Macaca mulatta: one gene and its partners. The protein of the gene in region 1 interacts with the protein of each later gene in a pairwise test. Links are inferred from orthologs where the notes say so. Each region holds a gene or a part of one and is shown in the gene's direction. Other genes may lie near its edges.

Region 1 (3,077 bases):
TCTCTGGGAGCATACGTGTGGACCAGTCTGCACCACTCGGCCTGGGCTATGGCCTGTGCTTTTCAGGGCAGTGGGCTGAAAGACTCTGAGCATTCAGGGTGACCCCTTCCTTGACTGATGCTGATGCTGGAAGGGCCCTTCATTTTGCTGGACTCCAGAAAGGTAATATCACCTTACTGGGACCACAAAATTTAAGGCAGAGTCAGGACCAGAGGTAGACTCCCTGCCCACAGGTAGAGCACACTTGAGACTGCAGAGGGCTTTCAGGAGGAGGTGGCATTTGAACTGAGTCATGAAAAATACGGAAACCTTCCCCCAAACACCTGACACTTTAGGAAATACCTGTTGAAAGAATGAAATTTAATCCTTTTATAAGATTAGTAAAGGTCAGTCGTTAGCTGGTATTCTGTCTAAGCTGGGAATTTTGAGAACCGAGTGTGTAAAGTCAGTTCACCCCTGTGGTGTGTACTACGAGGTAGGTGTGATTGAGTTTTATGGCCTTGGTTACCAGCTCCTTCCAGACTAGGATGGCTGAAAGCCCTCTCTCTCCCTAATGAAAGTCATTAGCCACACAGTGTGGAGCCAGTCCAATGGGGCTCGAGCTGCACCCGGGCATGTTGGGCACACAGGTCACTGGGTCCTTACTCCTGCTTCAGCCTGGCGGCAACAGCTTCTCTTCCACTTGTCTTAGATGTTGTAAAATTGTGCTTAAAAATCATTTTCCACTGATTCAAGGGAAAAAAGTTTGAAAGCCACTGGCCTTGATAATTCCAGGGTGCCTATTGAACCTTCAAGGTAGGTGTTGTACCCCATTGTAGCATTGAGAAAAAAAGGCTCAGAGAAGTTAAGCTTTTGGCCAGGGTCACAAAACTGGTGAGAGAGAGACTAGGATTCCAGTTACACAGCTGGTTGGTGACAGAGCCAGGTCAGGTCTGGGGTCTAGGTGCTTTCCACTGCCCCTCCCTCTCTCCCACAGAGGTAGAACACACATGGCCCTTTACTCACACCAGCACTGCTGCCTGCCTGACATCTGTGGGCACTGCCCAGGGAGAGCCAGGCATCTCCAGCCTCCACACAAAGAGAGGGGCTCTGGCCAAGTAGAGCACGCTCCGTCTGCTCACACAGAAGCCTGGAGCCTGGCGTCCAGGGCAGGGCTCTGATTGACAGGCCTGCCAGACGGCCTTTGTTAAGAGTGTGATCTCAGTCAGTTTATCTGGGCCCAAGCTGCCACCACAGGCCCCTGGCAGGAGCTGTGATCCAGGGAGATGCTTGGCTGAGCAGCTCGGAATTAAAGCACTAATAATCCCCCTTCTACCCTCTCACGTCTGGAGAGAGAATCAGGCATTGATTTGTGAGCTGTTTCAAACCCAAGAGCCCCTGAATCACTTTCATCCTTGTCCTGCTGCCCCCTGCCAAGGCTTGGAGGTGCTCTCCAGAACAGCTTCCTCCTTCCTGTTCCTGTCCCTGCCCATCTGCTGCTGCTTGGCTCCCTCTGCTCTCCTGTTCACAGGACAGCACCGGCCGTGGAGCTGGGCAGACCTAGGGTCCAATCCTGCCTTCTCCATCGTGTCCCAGCCATGTGACCCATGGCAGTTACCTGACCTCTGAGGACCTCACTCAGGTCTTGGTCTGTAAAGTGGGGGTGGGAGGACCTGTCTATTAGGGCTCCTGAGTAGAATACATAAGGTGATGCATGTAAAATACCTAGCACAGGGTCTGGCACATAGTAGGTACTTAAAAGTGGGCTTTCTTCCCTTCCTGGTGGTTGAATGAAGTTCAACCAGGTTAGCTGGGTTAATCTAAGGAGATTTTTGCAGACTCTTCCAAGCCTTTAATATGCTCATGTGTGACCCACTAATGTGGGGAACAGTATATGGGGTTTCTCAAAGTCACTTAACAAATAACACTTTTAGAGTACTAAAAAATACTTTGTAAGACACCAGGACTCCATGAAACTCAGCTCAGGAAGTGTTGCTCTGAAGCATCTAGATAGAGAAGTAAACAGCGGGAACTACATCCAAAACTCAGTATTATTTCTTACGACATTTGTGTGTTTCTCGGTTAAGCTCTGAGCTGTGTAGTCATCCCCCCTCCAGATCCTGTGATGGGTCCCTGTGCTGTGGTAAGGGATTGGATTCTATCCCTTGAAGAAGGAACAGAAGCAGCAAAATGTTGATCAGTGAGGCCACTTGTCTGAAGTCACCCAGCGTATCTTGCTTCAGAAACAGCTGCTCTACACCCACATTGCCAACCTCTTCTCCCAAAGGCCCCGCTGGCACTTGAGTTTAAGTGACCACATGTGCCAGACAGGGGGTCCTGTGGGCTTGGGATGCATTCAGACCCTTCCCCAGTGCAGAGCAGCGCTGGACAGCTGAGTGGGCTGTGGAGTCAGCCAACTTGAGATCCAGTTCTGCCCTTAACCACAAAGTAGCTCTGGGGCCCTGGGCCTGTAGTTTCATCTCACTGAACCTATTTTTTCATCTTTACAGCAGGAATAGTAATAGAACCCCCTCCTAGGATTGTGAGCACAGTCGCCCTGGCATATACAGAAGGGCTCTGTCACTGTGACCATTCAGCTGTTCCCATGCTTATCTTAGGTTGCCTGTATTCCTTCTTGCCTTCAATAATTTGGCAGGTGTTTGCTGAATGCCGCCTTCCGAGTGCCTGTGCCTGTGTGTTTGGGGCCATGCATCTCCCCATCAGGAGCCCCCCACTTCGGGGGTGAGAGCTATGTTTGGTCAGCCCATCTGGCTAACTCTCTCTCCACTCTGCTTCTCTGCTGTGCGTGCTGTGCAGGCATCAGAACCAGTGGGAGACTTCCAGCCAAGCTACTACCTGCCGCCGCCACCACTGCCGCCCCTTCCACCACTTCCACCACTTCCACCACAGCCCCAGTTCCTCCCGCCAGGCTACCTCTCTGCGCTCCACTTCCTCCCCCCGCCACCGCCACCACCGCCTCCGTCATCTTTCTCACTGACCGTCCTGTTTGATACTGACAAGGAGAACACTGGTGAGTGAGCTCCAGTCTTCCAGCTTCTGCCAGAGCCAGGGAGACTTTCTGGAGGAAGAGGTACCTA
Region 2 (3,515 bases), on another chromosome or scaffold:
CAGATCACAAAGTCAGGAGTTTGAGACCAGCCTGGCCAATATGGTGAAACCACGTCTCTACTAAAAATACAAAAACTAGCCGGACATGGTGGCGTGCGCCTGTAATCCCAGCTACTCAGGAGGCTGAACCCGGGAGGCAGAGGTTGCAGTGAGCCAAGATCACGCCACTGCACTCCGGCACAGGGTACACAGCGAGACTCCATCTCTTAAAAAAAAAAAAAAAAAAAAATTAGCTGGGCATGGTGGTGCATACCTGTTGTCCCAGCTACTTGTGGAGCTAAAGTGGGAAGATCACTTGAGCCTAGGAGGCGGAGGTTGCAGTGAGCTGAGATTGTACCACTGCACTCCAGCCTGGGTGACAAAGTGAGACCCTGTCTCAAAAAACAAATAAATAAATGAAAAGTAAAGCAAAAAGAATTGAGTGAAGCTGAAGTTTATCAGTGTCAGGATGACTCAAACCAAAGTGGAAGGCATTCTAGGAAGCACTTTTTAAAAATTTTAATATAGATTGAACTCAGAGGTTATAAAACATTGAAAAGATTTGTGAGTGAGACGGTGATTTCCTGTGGCTTCCTTGAGAAAGGACAAACATTTCTTGCCAGGCAGATAATCTAACTTTTGAGGCCCTTTCCAGCCTCAGGATTTGATGTGGTTCTGTAGTGCAGCAATCTCCAAGCTTCTTGGCACCAGGGACCAGTTTCTTGGAAGACAGTTTTTCCACAGACTGTGGTGGGAGTGGTTGCAGAATGATTCAAGTGCATTACATTTATGCTGTACTTTATTTCTATTATTATTACACTGTAATATATAATGAAATAATTACACAGCTCACCATAATGTAGAATCAGCGGGAACCCTGAGTTTCTTTCCCTGCAATTCGATGGTCCCATCTGGGGGTGATGGGAGACAGTGACAGATCGTCAAGCATTAGATTCTCATAATGAGTGGGCAACCTAGCTCCCTCATGTGCACAGTTCACAATAGGGTTCATACTTCTATGAGAATCTAATGCCCACTTTGATCTGACAGGGGGCGGAGCTCAGGCAGTAATGTGTGTGATTGGGGAGCAGCTGTAAATACAGATGAAGCTTGCTTGCCACTCACTTCCTTCTGTGCAGCCCGGTTCCTAACAGGCCACCAGAAGTTGGGGACCCTTGCTATAGTGCTTCTGTTCAAGCCCTGAGGCAACAAAACTCCTTATCGTTTCTTGCCAAATCTGATCTGCCTTTATCTAATCAGGTATTGATACTGCTGCTCCGTGTGGTCTGAGGATGCTTCTCCACCCTGCTCCTCTGAGTAGCAGCTGGGTCCCAATTAAGACTTGTTCTGTCTGTTCTTGTAGCTCTTTATTTACTAGGAATCTACAGAATAATTCTTTCTCACAGGCTGGGCAAGGTGACTCATGCCTGTAATCCCAGCACTTTGGGAAGCTGAGGCGGGTGGATCACCTGAGGCCAGGAGTTCAAGACCAGCCTGGCCAATGTGGTGAAACCCCATCTCCACTAAAAATACAAAAACTAGCCGGGCGTGGCAGCACATGCCTGTAATTCCAGCTGCTTGAGAGGCTGAGGCATGAAAAATGCCTGAAGCCAGGAGGCGGAGGTTGCAGTGAGCCGAGATCGTGCCACTGTACTCCAGCCTGGGTGACAGAGGGAGACTCTGTCTTTAAAAAAAAAAAAAAAAAAAAAAATTCTTTCTCACAGATAATTAATCTTTCTGTTAATTCTTTTTTTATAGCAAGGAAGATGTCCGAGCAACTGAAAAAGACAAGGTTGTTGGTTGGTTCTCTTTTTTTAACGGCTTTACAAATCTCAATCCCTTAAAAGTATTATCTCAGACCAGGCATGGTTGCACACACCTGTAATCCCAGTACTTTGGGAGGCTGAGGCGGGAGGATCACTTGAGGCCAGGACTTCAAGACCAGCCCTGGCAACACAGTGAGACCCTGTCTCTACAAAAATTTTAAAAATTAAAAATTAGCGGGCATGGTGGCTCATGCTTGTAGTCATAGCTGCTTGAGAGGATGTGGCTGGAGGATTGCTTGAGCCCAGGAGTTTGAGGTTATGTGGTGGCACAAACCTGTAGTCCTAGCTACTTGGGAGGCTGAGGCAGGAGGATCCCTTGGTCCAGCAGTCCAAGGCTGCAGTGAGCTACCATTGCATCACTGCACTCCAGCCTGGGTGACACAGTGGGATTCCACCCTTAACAAAAAAGGGCTGGGTGCGGTGGCGCACACCTGTAATCCCAGCTTTTTGGAAGGCCAAGGCAGGCAGATCACGAGCTCAGGAGTTCAAGACCAGTCTGACCAACATGGTGAAACCCCATCTCTACTAAAAATACAAAAACTAGCCAGCGTCATGCTGCGCGCCTGTAATCCCAGCTACTCAGGAGGCTAAGGCAGGAGAATCGCTTGAACCTGGGAGGTGGAGGTTGCAGTGAGCCAAGATCGTACCACTGCACTCCAGCCTGGGCAACAGAGCGAGACTCCATCTCAAAAAAAAAAAAAAAAAAAAAAAAAACAACTTTTCATTTGTATGATAATACTATAGAAGCAATTAAAAGTTGTTGACTTGACATGAGTAATGATGATTTCTACCCTCCAGGATTAGAAAGTAGACTGGCTTTACCAGAAGGGTTCACAGTTTCATATAGACCCTGTCTAGAACTTTCACTTACCATTCCTGTTCTTTCTTTACAGGTTGAAATTTATAAGAGTTTCCGCCCAGGTGACATTGTCTTGGCCAAAGTGGTATCCTTTATTCCCAGCAGACTTCTGGGTTTTTGTCAAAAGAAGAGATGGAGGCTGGGCGTGGTGGCTCATGCCTGTAATCCCAGCACTTTGGGAGGCCAAGGCGGGTGGATCACCTGAGGTCAGGAGTTCGAGACCAGCCTGGCCCAACATGGTGAAACCCTGTCTCTACTGAAAATACAAAAATTAGCTGGACGTGGTGGCGCATGGCTGTAATCTCAGCTACTCGGGAAACTGAGGCAGGAGAACCGCTGGAACGCTGGAGGCACAGGTTGCTGTGAGCTGAGATCGCGCCACTGCTCTCCAGCCTGGGTAACAGAGCAAGACTCCGTCTCAAAAAAACAAAACAGAGAAAGTAGAAAAACAACTCAGCTGGCTAAGGTTGGGGGAAGACTTCTAACTCCTCATTTTCCTTCAGTGTTATGTGACTAGATCTCCCTAGGTGATGCACAGTCCAACTACCTGCTAACCACTGCCGAGAACGAGCTGGGAGTAGTGGTAGCCCACAGTGAGTCAGGTGAGATGGCCTTGCTTCCACATCCTTACTTTCCCTGGAGCTATGGTTTGGGATTAATCCATTGTTTTTCCTGGTTTCCCTTATCTGGGAAGCAGTATGGCTGTAGATATTTCCTTCTGAGATTAGAATGATTTTTTTTTTCTTCTTTGCTTGGTGCCGGTGGTGGTGGTGGTGGTTTGAGACTGGGTCTCACTGTGTCGAGGAGGCTGGAGTGCAGTGGTGCGATCTCCACTCACCACAGCCTTCACC
Region 3 (3,515 bases), on another chromosome or scaffold:
TTAAAAAATTTAAAAACTTCTGCCTACCAGTTTGTTACCTTTTAATGTGAAATGATACACAAAGTTGGGTCAGTATATAGATGAAATTTTTAAGGGTTCTTACCCAGAGAGTTCCCGGTTCCCTTCATTTTATAAGTTTTGCTACTATTATATATGTAATAATGCCCAGCAACTCAAAGAGAGATAAATGACGTATGAATATTATTTAAGGAATATATCTGTAATAAACTGTTTGTACCTACAGATACCACCTCTGTCTTCTTTTCTATAATAACAACTATTAAAATATCTCCTCATTTTGTTTTCATGGAACCACCACCAAAGCAAGCATCAAGAAATCCTAATTTCTAGCAAGCAAGCAGGGAAGACTTTGTCTTGTAAGAACTCAGAGATCATCACATTTGTAAAGGAAAGGAGGCTGTGCTTAGAACTGGCTTCTGCATATAGCCAGGCACTTCAAAATGTGGCTCATGGACAGACCAGGAGATCCGTATCAAGGATTAGAATTTTCCATGACTCAGTGCCATCTGGAGCCTATATTCCATTTATCTCCTTCTGTGTATATTGTACTCTCAGGCATAATTGGCTCTTCTGAAAATAGCACACATTTCCTAAGTTGGATAGTGGTAGAAGCTCGCTCACATGAATATCATTTTCTCTTCTAGTTCCATCACCAGGACAGCTTCAACACAGAGTCCACAGCGTGGGGCATTTCCCAGTGTCTATCCGACAACCTCTTAAAGCCACAGCCTATGTGAGTCCAACCGTTCAAGGCAGCAGTAACATGCCTGTATCAAACGGCTTACAGCTGTATTCCAACACAGGAATCCCCACACCGAACAAAGCTGCAGCTTCTGGGATAATGGGTCGCAGTGCACTCCCAAGACCTTCGTTGGCAATAAATGGGAGTAACCTGCCTCGAAGCAAAATTGCACAACCTGTTAGAAGGTAAGAATCTTTATTTGCATAATTTCATTTGCAGTTTGGAACTAGAAACTGCTCCAGACACACGCTGACCTTTCCTTTGGCTCACTTTAACCTTAGTAAGTCACTACCCTTTGTGGCCTGACTTGTGCTCTCCTCCCTTTGAAAAGTGATGGATATCCCTGTGTGGGTCAGGTCCCCTTCTCTCTGATATCATTTTCTTCCCCTACTCCCTCATCACTATCACTCCTAACACTTTTGCTTTTACCAGACAAGCTCTGTCTCCAGAGCTTTTGTAGCTTTCTTCTCCCAAGTTACTTGCACGACTTGCTCTGTGCCTCCTTCAGGTCTTTGCTCAGACGGCAGCTCTATCCAAAAATTGTAGGGCAGGGGGAGTTGACTCTTTGGTTCATTGCTGTGTGTCCCTAATGCCAAGAACTATGCCCAGTATGGGTAGGATCTCAAATATTTGTTGAATCAGTCATTTTTAGTCAAAATATGGAAAAATGTGTCAGGCATATGTGCACATGCACACCCTCCTCCCACACATTTATGGTTTGAAAAGCATCTTAATGACATTCACCTGGGGCTTTATCAGCTTATGTTGGTAAGTTCAGTATGGTTCAGGTAGAAATTTTTTTTCCCCTTCAAAGTTTCAGAGTTTTTTTTCCTACTTCAAAGGACATTTTAGTCCAGCTCTTGGTCATGATGTACCCTTCTTGAACTGAATATTATGGAGTGTCTTATATTAAAAATCCATAAAAGTGGTTTGAAGAAAGATTGAGGAAATAAAGACAGTAAATACAGACAGCTCTTTCAAGAAATTAGGATATGAAGAAGGAGAAGGAGGAAACATAGTAAAAATTTGAAAGAGGTAGAACAAGCAATTTTTTCTGTCTTTATGCATTTATGGATATATAAATAGTTCTGTTTTTTGTTTAGAAGTAATGGATGCTCAGATCAACAACAAATTTCAAAAAACAGAAACTGTTGAAAAATAGAAAAGTAAAGACTGACCCATAATCCTACTACCAGATAGAAACAATTTTGGTACATGTTTATTTATTCAGTAATTTTTGGCTTATTCTGCTTTGTAAATGCCGAGCTGCGTCATCATGCTGATGGCTGACTAGAATCACATTATTTGATATATATGGTTATTATAGACCATACATTTATCCTTGAATTTGTGTCTCCAAACTAAACACTTGGAAAGGTCACTGCTAGACAATATAAGATGGTCTGTTTCCCCAAACTTAAGCAAATACTAGGTATTATTCCTTTTAATTTTTTTTAATTTAAATTTTTTATTTTATGTATTTTTTTAGAGACAGGGTCTTGCTCTTTTGCCCAGGCTGGAGTGCAGTGGTGTGGTCATAGCTTGTTGTAACCTCAAACTCCTGGGCTCAAGTGATCCTCCTGCCTTGCTAGGACTATAGTGCATGCCACCACTCCCAGATAATTTGAAAAAAAAAATTGTAGAGATAAAGGTCTTGCTGTGTTGCCCAAGCTGGTCTTGAATGCCTGGCCTCAAGTGTTCCTGTTGCCTTGGCCTCCCAAAGTGTTGGGATTATAGGTGTGAGCCACTGCACTCAGCCGAAGGTTCTTTTTAAATGTTTTGCCAACATGATAGGCAAATCTTTAATTACTAATACGGTTTTGAAAGTTTATTCGTATTCAGTTGCTGTTTGTATTCAACAGAGTAACCATTTATGTTTTTAGGCCATTTTTCTAGCCAGGAGTCTGTATTTTCTTATTTTAAAATATGTTTTACACATTAAGGGTATTGGCCCCTTTATTTATGTTGGAAATTTACTTGTGCAAATACAACACGCATGACACTCTGCCATGAACTGGGGCTTTGGGAGATAAGCATGCAGTGAAGACCCGTAAGTGTGAACCACAAGGCACACTTGAGATACTGCCAATGGCTTCTCATTACTGCAGTGGAGGAGCATAGATGGGAGAGTAGGTCAAAGTAAGTAATGTGACTCACAGGATTATTAACAATCTCTCTGTGTTTTTCTTGTCTCTTTTTAGTTTTCTTCAGCCTCCAAAGCCTCTGTCTTCACTCAGCACTCTGAGGGATGGAAATTGGAGAGATGGTTGCTACTGATGCAGTTTTATGTACCCTTGAGAAATGGGAAAGAAGTAAAAATGAGGGTTGTGTTACCTAGCTGGCTGGGTAGCAGTGGATGTTGGGATATTCTTTCCCTTTTGTGTTTTAATATATTTACTGCATTGTTTCTCAATGGACCAGTCACCAGAGACTAATTATTGCACTTAAATATTTGCCTGAGATACTGCAACAGTCTCAAACCCATGGTTGCAGTATTGTGACACTTAGATCTAGGAAGTTTTTGTAGAACTGCTCTGTACCTGAATACTTTTTGAGAGAATTGAGATGTATCAATAATGCTTTGCCATAGAAGTTTTTTAAAGTAACTTGTTCAATTTACTTACGTGTTCTAAACATCTTTCCATTACATGTTCTGTATTTTAATACATTGCATATTGACAACTAGGTTCTATAATGTATGCTTTGAAATTTACTTTTTTATAGTTTACAGGAATTTTATTTTTTGTGCCTA
Region 4 (4,198 bases), on another chromosome or scaffold:
GTCCCTGTCACTTTGTCCTTGATCTCCAGTGTGCACTTCTGTTGGACAGTAATTGGCTCCTGGGCCTTACACTCTCTCCTTAAGGATACTACCTAATAGGTCCTGGCTAATTTTTATTGAAAGAATTACTTCACGTAGTTACTACTCAGGAATGTGACCAAACATGGCCCATTATACCTGCAAAGGATTTGAAGACATTTTAATGGGTTGCCAGTTTGTTTACCTCCTCCTTCTTAGGGTTAGGAGAGAATGAGTTAAAGAATTACTTTTCCCACTTCGAGGACCAGGCTCTAGACTCTTAGCCCTCTGGCCATTCCTTTGGCTACTTCCATGCTTCCCTTGCCTCCCACACCCATGCCTTGTTGTGTAGCACACTCTCTTACAAAGGCTGCTGCACTGAAAGCATTGTCACATCCCGAAGTACCAAGGAGCAGCATCTGAGAAAGCCTGATGGAACTGCTCTAAACCAATAAATTGATTAAAAAAAAAAAACATGTATGTGACTATTACCTGTTTTCCATTCTTCTGAAGATAAAAGATTTTTGTAAGTCCTTAAATTTCTACCAGATTAAAGTGAAATTTCAATATGAATATCTTACAGCATTGTGTCTGGCTATTTTAAAATTCATTTTAGCATTTTACTTAGAAGGAATTTCAGACCTATGCAAAAGTTGCAAGAATAGTACAATGAATTCCTATGTGCTCTTCACCTTGGTTACTAATGGTTATATTCTGCCATATTTGTACATTCTTTATGTACATATTATATATGTGTCTGTATACATTTGTGTGTGCATATATAGATATATAATATATAATATACAAGTTAAAATTTTTATATATATATATATATATATATAGATGTATTTCCCCCAGGACCATTTTAGAAATCGATTGCAGACATGACAATTTCTTTACCTCTCAATATTTCAGTGTATAGTCTTCTAAGAACAAAGACATTCTAAGTCTATAGAACAATTATCAAATGAGGGAATTTAATATTGTTAAAACATTTACTTGATATACAGTCCATATTCACATTTTTCCAGTTGATAAAAGTTTATAGTATTTCTTTTTCTGATCCATATCCAGCCCATGATCTCACATTGCATTTAGTTGTTGTTAGTCTCCTTCAGTCTGGAATAGTTCCTCAGCTTTGTCTTCATAACACTGACATTTTTAAAAGAGTATAGGCTCTTTGTTTTGTGCTTCTCGCTCAATTTGGGGTATCTATTTCCTCATAAATACTTTTTTAAAAACTAGTTTTTAAAAAAAGTGATAAAATATAATGATATGTTCATAAAATAAATTCAGGCAGTTCCAAAATGTTAAAATGTCCTTCCTATCTCGCTGTGGGGAGAAAAAGAAAATATTACCTGGCTAGCATTAGATGTCTCTGGTCTGTGAGGCATTGCTTTTGAGTGTAACTTCAGAGATGCAAAGCCCCTCCTAAAGGACCTCTGCTGAACTTCATCACGCTCCCTGTGAGTCTGAGGCCGTGTTCTCGTTGTATTAGGTTGTTAAGGGTAACACCCTGTAAGACCAGCAGATGGGGAGCCTGCTCCTTGCAAATGTAAGTTCTCTCATTTGTCATTTCATTCTCCATTTGCTTTTCCTTTCCCAAGCTGCCATCCTGGGCCAAGCTTTTCTTTCCGTTGGCTTCAGCAATTATTGCAGGGTCTTCACAGATTTCCCCCCTTTCATGCCTTCTCCGGCCAATGAGTTTGTCACAGTACAGGCAGCCAGACTTATCTTTCCTAAAACAAGGCTTCCAACTGGGTCATCTTAGTGTCTTTTTCTTGCTTTTTACTTTTACTATTATAGATTAAGATGTTTTAAAAAGTGCTCGAATAAAAATTATTCCTTATAATGAGATGACACTTACTAGAAGAGTGTGGGGAACTGAAAAATTCTGGAATTAAGAAAACTTATTTTTTACTTACAGATGTTTTCTTGTGGGAAAATTAGAGAAAAAACTCAATTTTTTTTCTAAGAACCTTTTTTTTCTTAAATTTGTATGCCCTTCTGTCTCTAAATACAGTTCAAAATTGTACTTTCTAAAGAACAAACCAAATTGTACACAGTGCAGTTTTGCTCTTAAATTACAAGTCATCAAATTCACAAACTGCATTTTTAAAAATTCAGAATATTAGGCTGGACACGGTGGCTCACACCTGTAATCCCAGCACTTTGGGAGGCCGAGGCGGGCAGATCACTTGAGCCCAGGAGTTCGAGACCAGCCTGGCCAACATGGCAAAACCCCGTCTCTACTAAAAATACAAAAATTAGCCAGGCTTGATGGTGGGTGCCTGTAATTCCAGCTACTCGAGAGGCTGAGGCAGGAGAATCACTTGAACCCAGGAGGCAGAGGTTGCAGTGAGCTGAGATTATGCTATTGCACTCCAGCCTGGGCAATAGGACAAAACTCCATCTAAAAAAATAAATACAAATATAAATAAATTAAAAATTCAGAATATTTGAGTTTTCCCCAAATCTTTTCACAACAGATGAGATTCCCTCCAGAGTTTCTAGGGATTTTGCTTAAGTCAAAGAAAAATACTTTGTTTTAATCTGGAAATAATCTTAAATTCATTTCATCCTTGTATATTAGACTAAGTTGACGACAGAAATACTAGTGCTTACAAAGCCTAAGTCTGCTGGGCAGTATACACAGAATGTCCTCCAGAGGTATTTATTACATAAGAGGCAGATTTTCTGAAGGCCTCATTTTACTTAGCAGTGGTCATTCTCTCTACGGTGGAAACACAGTAAAATGGGTGTTTACAGATCTGGTTCTGGCCAGATATGTTGGATTGGACGATTGCCTTGGGGTCTGCCAAGGAAAAAGAAGTTGGAATTCTCAATGGGATGGCTTTTATTTTTATTTTATTATATTTTCAAGACAGAGTCTTGCTCTGTCACCCAGGTTGAAGTGCAGTGGTGCAATCTCGGCTCACTGCAACCTCCAGCCCCCATACTGAAGCAATTCACCCGCCTCAGCCTCCTGAGTAGCTGGGATTACAGGCGCACGCCAGCACACCCAGCTAATTTTTGTGTTTTTAGTACAGATGGAGTTTCACCATGTTGGCTAGGCTGGTCTGGAACTCCTTAGCTCAGGTGACCCCCCTGCCTAGGCTTCCCAAAGTGCTGGGATTACAGGCGTGAACCACCGTGCCCAGACCTTTCTCTGTTTTTAAGTTGGAGGACATAAAAGAAAACTGTACAGTACTTTCTAGATTTATAACAGTTCTGCTGTATTACATTCACTTTATATAGAATATAAACTTGGTATTTCTGCTTTTGTGTTTCCTCATTCCACAGATTCCATATCTAGCATTTAAGAATTTGCTGTTTCCTTTTTGGTAGGTGAGATGTCCCATCATGATATTTTGGATGCTGCTTCCCAAGGAATAAATGTCATCCTCTGTGAACATAGCAACACTGAACGAGGCTTTCTTTCTGACCTTCGAGATATGCTGGGTTCTCACTTGGAGAATAAGATAAATATTATCCTATCAGAGACTGACAGGGACCCTCTTCAGGTGGTATAATTGCAGAAACATCAGGATAACACATTGTACAAATTAGTTGGATGCCAACTTGAATTTGTAACATGAGTCAGTGGGACTAGTGTGCTTCTAGAAGAGTGTCTTAGAGGGTATGATCATTTCCGGTTTGTTAATCTGATTCACCAAACATTCTTTTTTTTCCTTTTTTTTTTTTGAGATGGAGTCTCGCTCTGTCACCAGGCTGGAGTGCAGTGGCGCGATCTTGGTTCATTGCAACCTCTGCCTCCCAGGTTCAAGCAGTTCTTCTGCCTCAGCCTCCTGAGCAGCTGGGACTACAGGTGTGTGCCACCGCACCCAGCTAATTTTTGTATTTTTAGTAGAGACGGGGTTTCACCATGTTGGCCAGGATGGTCTGGATCTCTTGACCTCGTGATCCACCCGCCTCGGCCACCCGAAGTGCTGGGATTACAGGCGTGAGCCACCACGCCCTGCAGATTCACTAAATGTTCTATCGCTCATACAGTAAAACTGTAATGTAACTACCACATTAAATAACAAGTATTCATATAAAATCTAGGAAAGATTGAATAAAATCTGTTTACTTAACATTCTTTGGAAGCAGCTCAAGTGATTCTCTCCTTAGTTTAATTGTAGATGGGATGGGATGGATCCATTTGGGTATCTTTGCC
Region 5 (4,205 bases), on another chromosome or scaffold:
GCACGATATGGAACCCAGGGAAATCACGGCAGTCCTTGTTCTCACAGTCTGGTAGGGGAGAGAATCTATTGCACAGATATCTCTGTCTCCACGAAGTTGACAAGTCATAAAGAGCTCCTCAGGCAGCAAAGTGTAGAGAAAGAGAGTATGGTCCAGCGTTCTGAATTCTGGATCTGCCACTTTTTTGCTGCAGGATTTAACTAAGGTTCAGTTTCATCATCAATGAAATGGAGATCATGGTATCTACCTATATTACCAGTTTGAAATGGGTCTGTGGATGCATTGTGCAAACCCTAAAACTCTTACAAACATCGGATATTAGTACTAACTTCATTAGGAATGTGAGTTATGTCAGAGTAAAAGCTCTCAGAGCTGGGGTGAACTACAGACGGGTGGCTTCATTCCTCGACCTTCCAATTCGAGATCTTTTTCCTTCTGCGGGAGGGGAAGCAGGCAAATAGCCTGCCTCTCACAGAGTGCCCATTCCCTCCCCGGGAACCAAGGTGCTCAGGCGGGTAAACTCAGGACACAACACTGTACAACTAGTACCACAGGCAGGAGCCACTCCCTGGCCCTCGGGTCTCTCAAGCCCCGCCTGCTCCAAGCTACGGCCCCGCCCCAAAAGGAGACTGACCCCGCCCCCTCTGCGCTGGCCGGCACTCCTGCCGCGCGGAGCCTCCAGGACAGTCCCAGGCCCGTGCCGGAGATTCCCGAGCTTCCCCGATCGCTTCCCAGCCTCCCTCGGGCAGCTAGCGAGGAGGCGACGGAGATTGCCGAGAAGGGCTGGCCCCGCCCCTCCGCAGGCCGCCACCGCCCCCCTAGCCATAGCCTCCCGCGCGGGCTGGAGTCCTACATCCCGGTCCCTCCCTCCCTCTTTCTCTCTCCCCGCCTTCCCGGTGCTGCCACAGTGGCGGGTCGGAGGATCCCGGCCAGTCAGCTCGTTCCTGCCTCGCGCCCCTCCTCCCCCCAAATAAACAGCCCTCCCTACGCCTTGGGAGCCCGGACCGCCCCCTTCCTCCCTCGGCCGGCGTGTTGTGAGGGAGAGTGTGAGCCAGCGCGGCCGGCGGGCGAGCTCCGGGAGTGCGAGAGGCGGGGCAGCGCGGCGGGCCGGGCCGGGTGTCGCGTGTGCGTGCGGGGGTGCGAGCGAGTGCCCGTCGCGACCCGCCAGTGGCCCCGCGCCGACAACCCGGCGGGCGGGCGGGCGAGCGAGCGAGCGAGCGGCCAGGCGAGGAGCTCCGGGCGCGAGCCGCGGAGGGGCGCGGAGTCCGCGCGCTCGCGCGCACGCACGCACGCACGCACGCGGGGGGCGGGGGCAGGCGCGCGCCCGCCTGTCGCGACAGTCGGGGCCGAGGCCCAGGGGGAGGTGGCCTGTCGCGGGTCGCCCGGCTCCCGGAGGCGAGGGGGGCGCGGGCGGATGGCGGAGGGCGCCCAGCCGCAGCAGCCGCCTCAGCTCGGGCCCGGCGCCGCTGCCCGGGGCATGAAGCGGGAGTCGGAGCTGGAGCTGCCGGTGCCCGGAGCGGGAGGAGACGGAGCCGATCCCGGCCTGAGCAAGCGGCCGCGCACTGAGGAGGCGGCGGCCGACGGTGGCGGCGGGATGCAGGTGACCGCGCGGGACGGGGCGCCCAGTTATTGCGGGGGAGAGGGGGAGTGGCGTGAGGGGCGACCCCGGGCTCCCCGGCTTGGAAAGAGGGAGGGCCTCCGGGGGTCCTGGGTTGGAGGTGGGATGGGGGGACCAGTCGGGGCCTGGTTGGAAGGTGGGACGAGCTCGGGCTAGGAACGAAGGTTGCAGGACTGATCCTGGTGTGCCTGAGAGGGTCCTGATTCCTGAGGGGCGAGGAGGCACGACGAGTGGATAGGTTTTGGGGGGAAATCGAACGTGGTTGAGATGGATTCCATTTCTTCAAATCCTTCCTTAGTGCCCTGGGGTGGAGTGGAAGCCGGGAAATCCTGGGTTCTCTGGACGGAGTCGAGGAAGAGGGGATCTCGTGGGAAACCTCCCAAGAAGAGGGAGTACCTTTTGGCAGCCCTGGGCACCCGCTGGGATGGGGAAGAGAAGTGGCGTTTCAAGGAGAGGAGTGAAAAGCAAGAAAACTCCGAGAGAGAGCCCCGAGGGGATGTGGCTGAGATTGTGGGTTAAAACACACAGAGTGTGTGAGAAGTACAGGGAGTTTGGTAATGTTGTGGGGACACGGTGGTGCTCAGTCTCATTAACTTTGTGGAGCATACTAATGAGTCTGAAGGGAGACACCAGACATGTCCCTCCTGTTCTTTGCCAATTGCATTCTACATCTCCAGGACACAAAATAGCTCTTTAATGTCCTGGGCTATTAAAAAAAAAATTTTATAGGGCTATTATAAGACTGGATTCTCAATTCTGGATTCAAAGATAAAAGTGGTTAATTTGGGTAGGGAATGGGAAAGGTATTGATGATGTCAGTTGACTTCATAGTTTTGAGGAAGACCTTGAAACCTTTGTAGGTTTTAGGGTTTGGTCTCTGCCCAGAAAATACTGCTATGAAATGGTGAGTCTCACCTATCAGCAATTGTGCAGACATGTGCCTAGTTCTCTCAGAGTCATAGGATGTTAGAGGGATGAGGAAGACTAGACATCTTTTCCAGGGGTTCTTAACCTGGACAGACTAGGAAGATTCTTACTTATAAAAGGTGATGTGCACTTTTTGGTGGCAGAGAGTCAATAATTTTCATCTTTGTTTTTTTTGGAGGGGATTTGAGTCCCAGCTTGTTTTAACCACCTTATTTTATAGATGGGGAATCAGAAGTCCAGAGAAGATGAGTGACTTGGGTAAGGCCACCCAGTTAGCTGATAGTAAAACTAGAACCAGAAGCCTGGTCTTCTAATTCCTATTCCTGTGCTGTCTCCATTACACCACTCTTGGAAATCTCTGCAGTGCTAAAAGACTTCCTGTGCTCTGCTCCCTGCTTTTCAAGCCTCTGCCTGACTTCCTGTGTTAGGGACGGAGCTGTACTTAAGCCTAGCGTATTTGTTGTGTGCTTCTTGGTCTCCTTTGCAGAGTTTACCCTGTTACTTGTGTTGATTTAGGTAAAGTGACCCTCTTGGTGTTTATTTTTGAATTCTTTTGTTTTGTTTGCCTGCTTTTATTTTCCATTAGAACTCTGTCAGGTAGAGGGATTGTGAGAAGTAAAAGCTCAGGGCCATGGAAAAAAAGACAGGAATATGGGAGACTGCAGGTGAGGTGAGCTAATATTGGATGGTAAGGAGGGAAGACTGGATATAGGTGCTGGTGAGCAGGTTCTACTTTGTGTGTGTGTGTGTGTGTGTGTGTGTGTATGTCTGTATGTATTCATTTATCATTTCTGTCAATCATAGTTAATAGTGAGACCCCCATCCCTTTCCCTCATTTACTCCTGGGGCCTGTTATCTGCTGGTTGCCTTCAAATTGGCTAAAGATAGTGATATTCGGAAATGGAGCAATATGTAGGGACTTCACAGGGCTGTGCAGAGGAAAGAGTGGTTAGGTCCTTGGGGGTAGCTGAGAACTATCCCTCTGAGAATCCTTTTTTCACTCTGTGTATTTGTGGGTGTTCTTTGTTTATTTTCTTTCTATACATTTTTTTTTTTTTTTTTTTTTTTGCCCAGGTTGGAGTGCAATGGCACGATCTCGGCTCACTGCAACCTCCACCTCCACCTCTGGGTTCAGGCGATTCTCCTGCCTCTGCTTTCTGAGTAGATGGGATTACAGGCATGTGCCACCATGCCCAGCTAATTTTTCGTATTTTTAGTAGAGGGGGGTTTTCACCAGGTTGGCCAGGCTGTTCTCGAACTCCTGACCTCAGGTGGTCCACCCACCTCAGCCTCCCAAAATGTTGGGATTACAGGCGTGAGCCACCACACCCAGCCTTCTGTGCATTCTCGTTGTTGTAGGTCCATTCCCCTATGTCATACAGGTATTCAGATCATCACTGATTTAGGTCCTGCCTTCAACTAGCTGAGTGCCTGCAGAAATCTTTCATTTTGGGGCCTCTGTTTTCCTTAGCTATAAAATAAAGTATGTGTACAAGATGATTTCCCTCGTGATCTGCCCGCCTCGGCCTCCCAAAGTGCTGGGATTACAGGTGTGAGCCACCACGCCCGGCCGGTTTCTAAGTTACCTTCTAAAAGATATAAGTCCAGTTCACTGTGCTTAAGGTGCATGCAATCTATGTGGGGAAACAAATGGGTGAAA

What was found.
Region 2: the proteins of DMRTB1 (region 1) and EXOSC1 interact in a two-hybrid assay, tested with the Homo sapiens proteins (2 studies listed by BioGRID). The link is inferred for Macaca mulatta from reciprocal best matches to the Homo sapiens genes DMRTB1 and EXOSC1.
Region 3: the proteins of DMRTB1 (region 1) and SLAIN1 interact in a two-hybrid assay, tested with the Homo sapiens proteins (2 studies listed by BioGRID). The link is inferred for Macaca mulatta from reciprocal best matches to the Homo sapiens genes DMRTB1 and SLAIN1.
Region 4: the proteins of DMRTB1 (region 1) and NIF3L1 interact in a two-hybrid assay, tested with the Homo sapiens proteins (2 studies listed by BioGRID and IntAct). The two-hybrid records come from large-scale screens. The link is inferred for Macaca mulatta from reciprocal best matches to the Homo sapiens genes DMRTB1 and NIF3L1.
Region 5: the proteins of DMRTB1 (region 1) and RBFOX2 interact in a two-hybrid assay, tested with the Homo sapiens proteins (3 studies listed by BioGRID). The link is inferred for Macaca mulatta from reciprocal best matches to the Homo sapiens genes DMRTB1 and RBFOX2.

What each region holds. Positions count from the first base shown.
Region 1 is NC_133406.1:187,151,273-187,154,349, reverse strand, and holds part of DMRTB1 (doublesex- and mab-3-related transcription factor B1), read left to right. Parts: intron 1-2,796; coding exon 2,797-3,010; intron 3,011-3,077.
Region 2 is NC_133414.1:109,488,200-109,491,714, reverse strand, and holds part of EXOSC1 (exosome complex component CSL4), read left to right. Parts: intron 1-1,737; coding exon 1,738-1,771; coding exon of another isoform or gene 1,772-1,778; intron 1,779-2,698; coding exon 2,699-2,749; coding exon of another isoform or gene 2,750-2,834; intron 2,835-3,181; coding exon 3,182-3,266; intron 3,267-3,515. UniProt on the Homo sapiens protein: Non-catalytic component of the RNA exosome complex which has 3'->5' exoribonuclease activity and participates in a multitude of cellular RNA processing and degradation events.
Region 3 is NC_133422.1:72,554,338-72,557,852, forward strand, and holds part of SLAIN1 (SLAIN motif-containing protein 1), read left to right. Parts: intron 1-665; coding exon 666-948; intron 949-2,964; coding exon 2,965-3,040; 3' UTR 3,041-3,515. UniProt on the Homo sapiens protein: Microtubule plus-end tracking protein that might be involved in the regulation of cytoplasmic microtubule dynamics, microtubule organization and microtubule elongation.
Region 4 is NC_133417.1:106,005,851-106,010,048, forward strand, and holds the end of NIF3L1 (NIF3-like protein 1), read left to right. Parts: intron 1-1,516; coding exon of another isoform or gene 1,517-1,524; exon of another isoform or gene 1,525-1,573; intron 1,574-3,366; coding exon 3,367-3,551; 3' UTR 3,552-3,690; downstream 3,691-4,198. UniProt on the Homo sapiens protein: May function as a transcriptional corepressor through its interaction with COPS2, negatively regulating the expression of genes involved in neuronal differentiation.
Region 5 is NC_133415.1:15,502,321-15,506,525, forward strand, and holds the start of RBFOX2 (RNA binding protein fox-1 homolog 2), read left to right. Parts: upstream 1-1,402; 5' UTR 1,403-1,414; coding exon 1,415-1,600; intron 1,601-4,205. UniProt on the Homo sapiens protein: RNA-binding protein that regulates alternative splicing events by binding to 5'-UGCAUGU-3' elements. Prevents binding of U2AF2 to the 3'-splice site.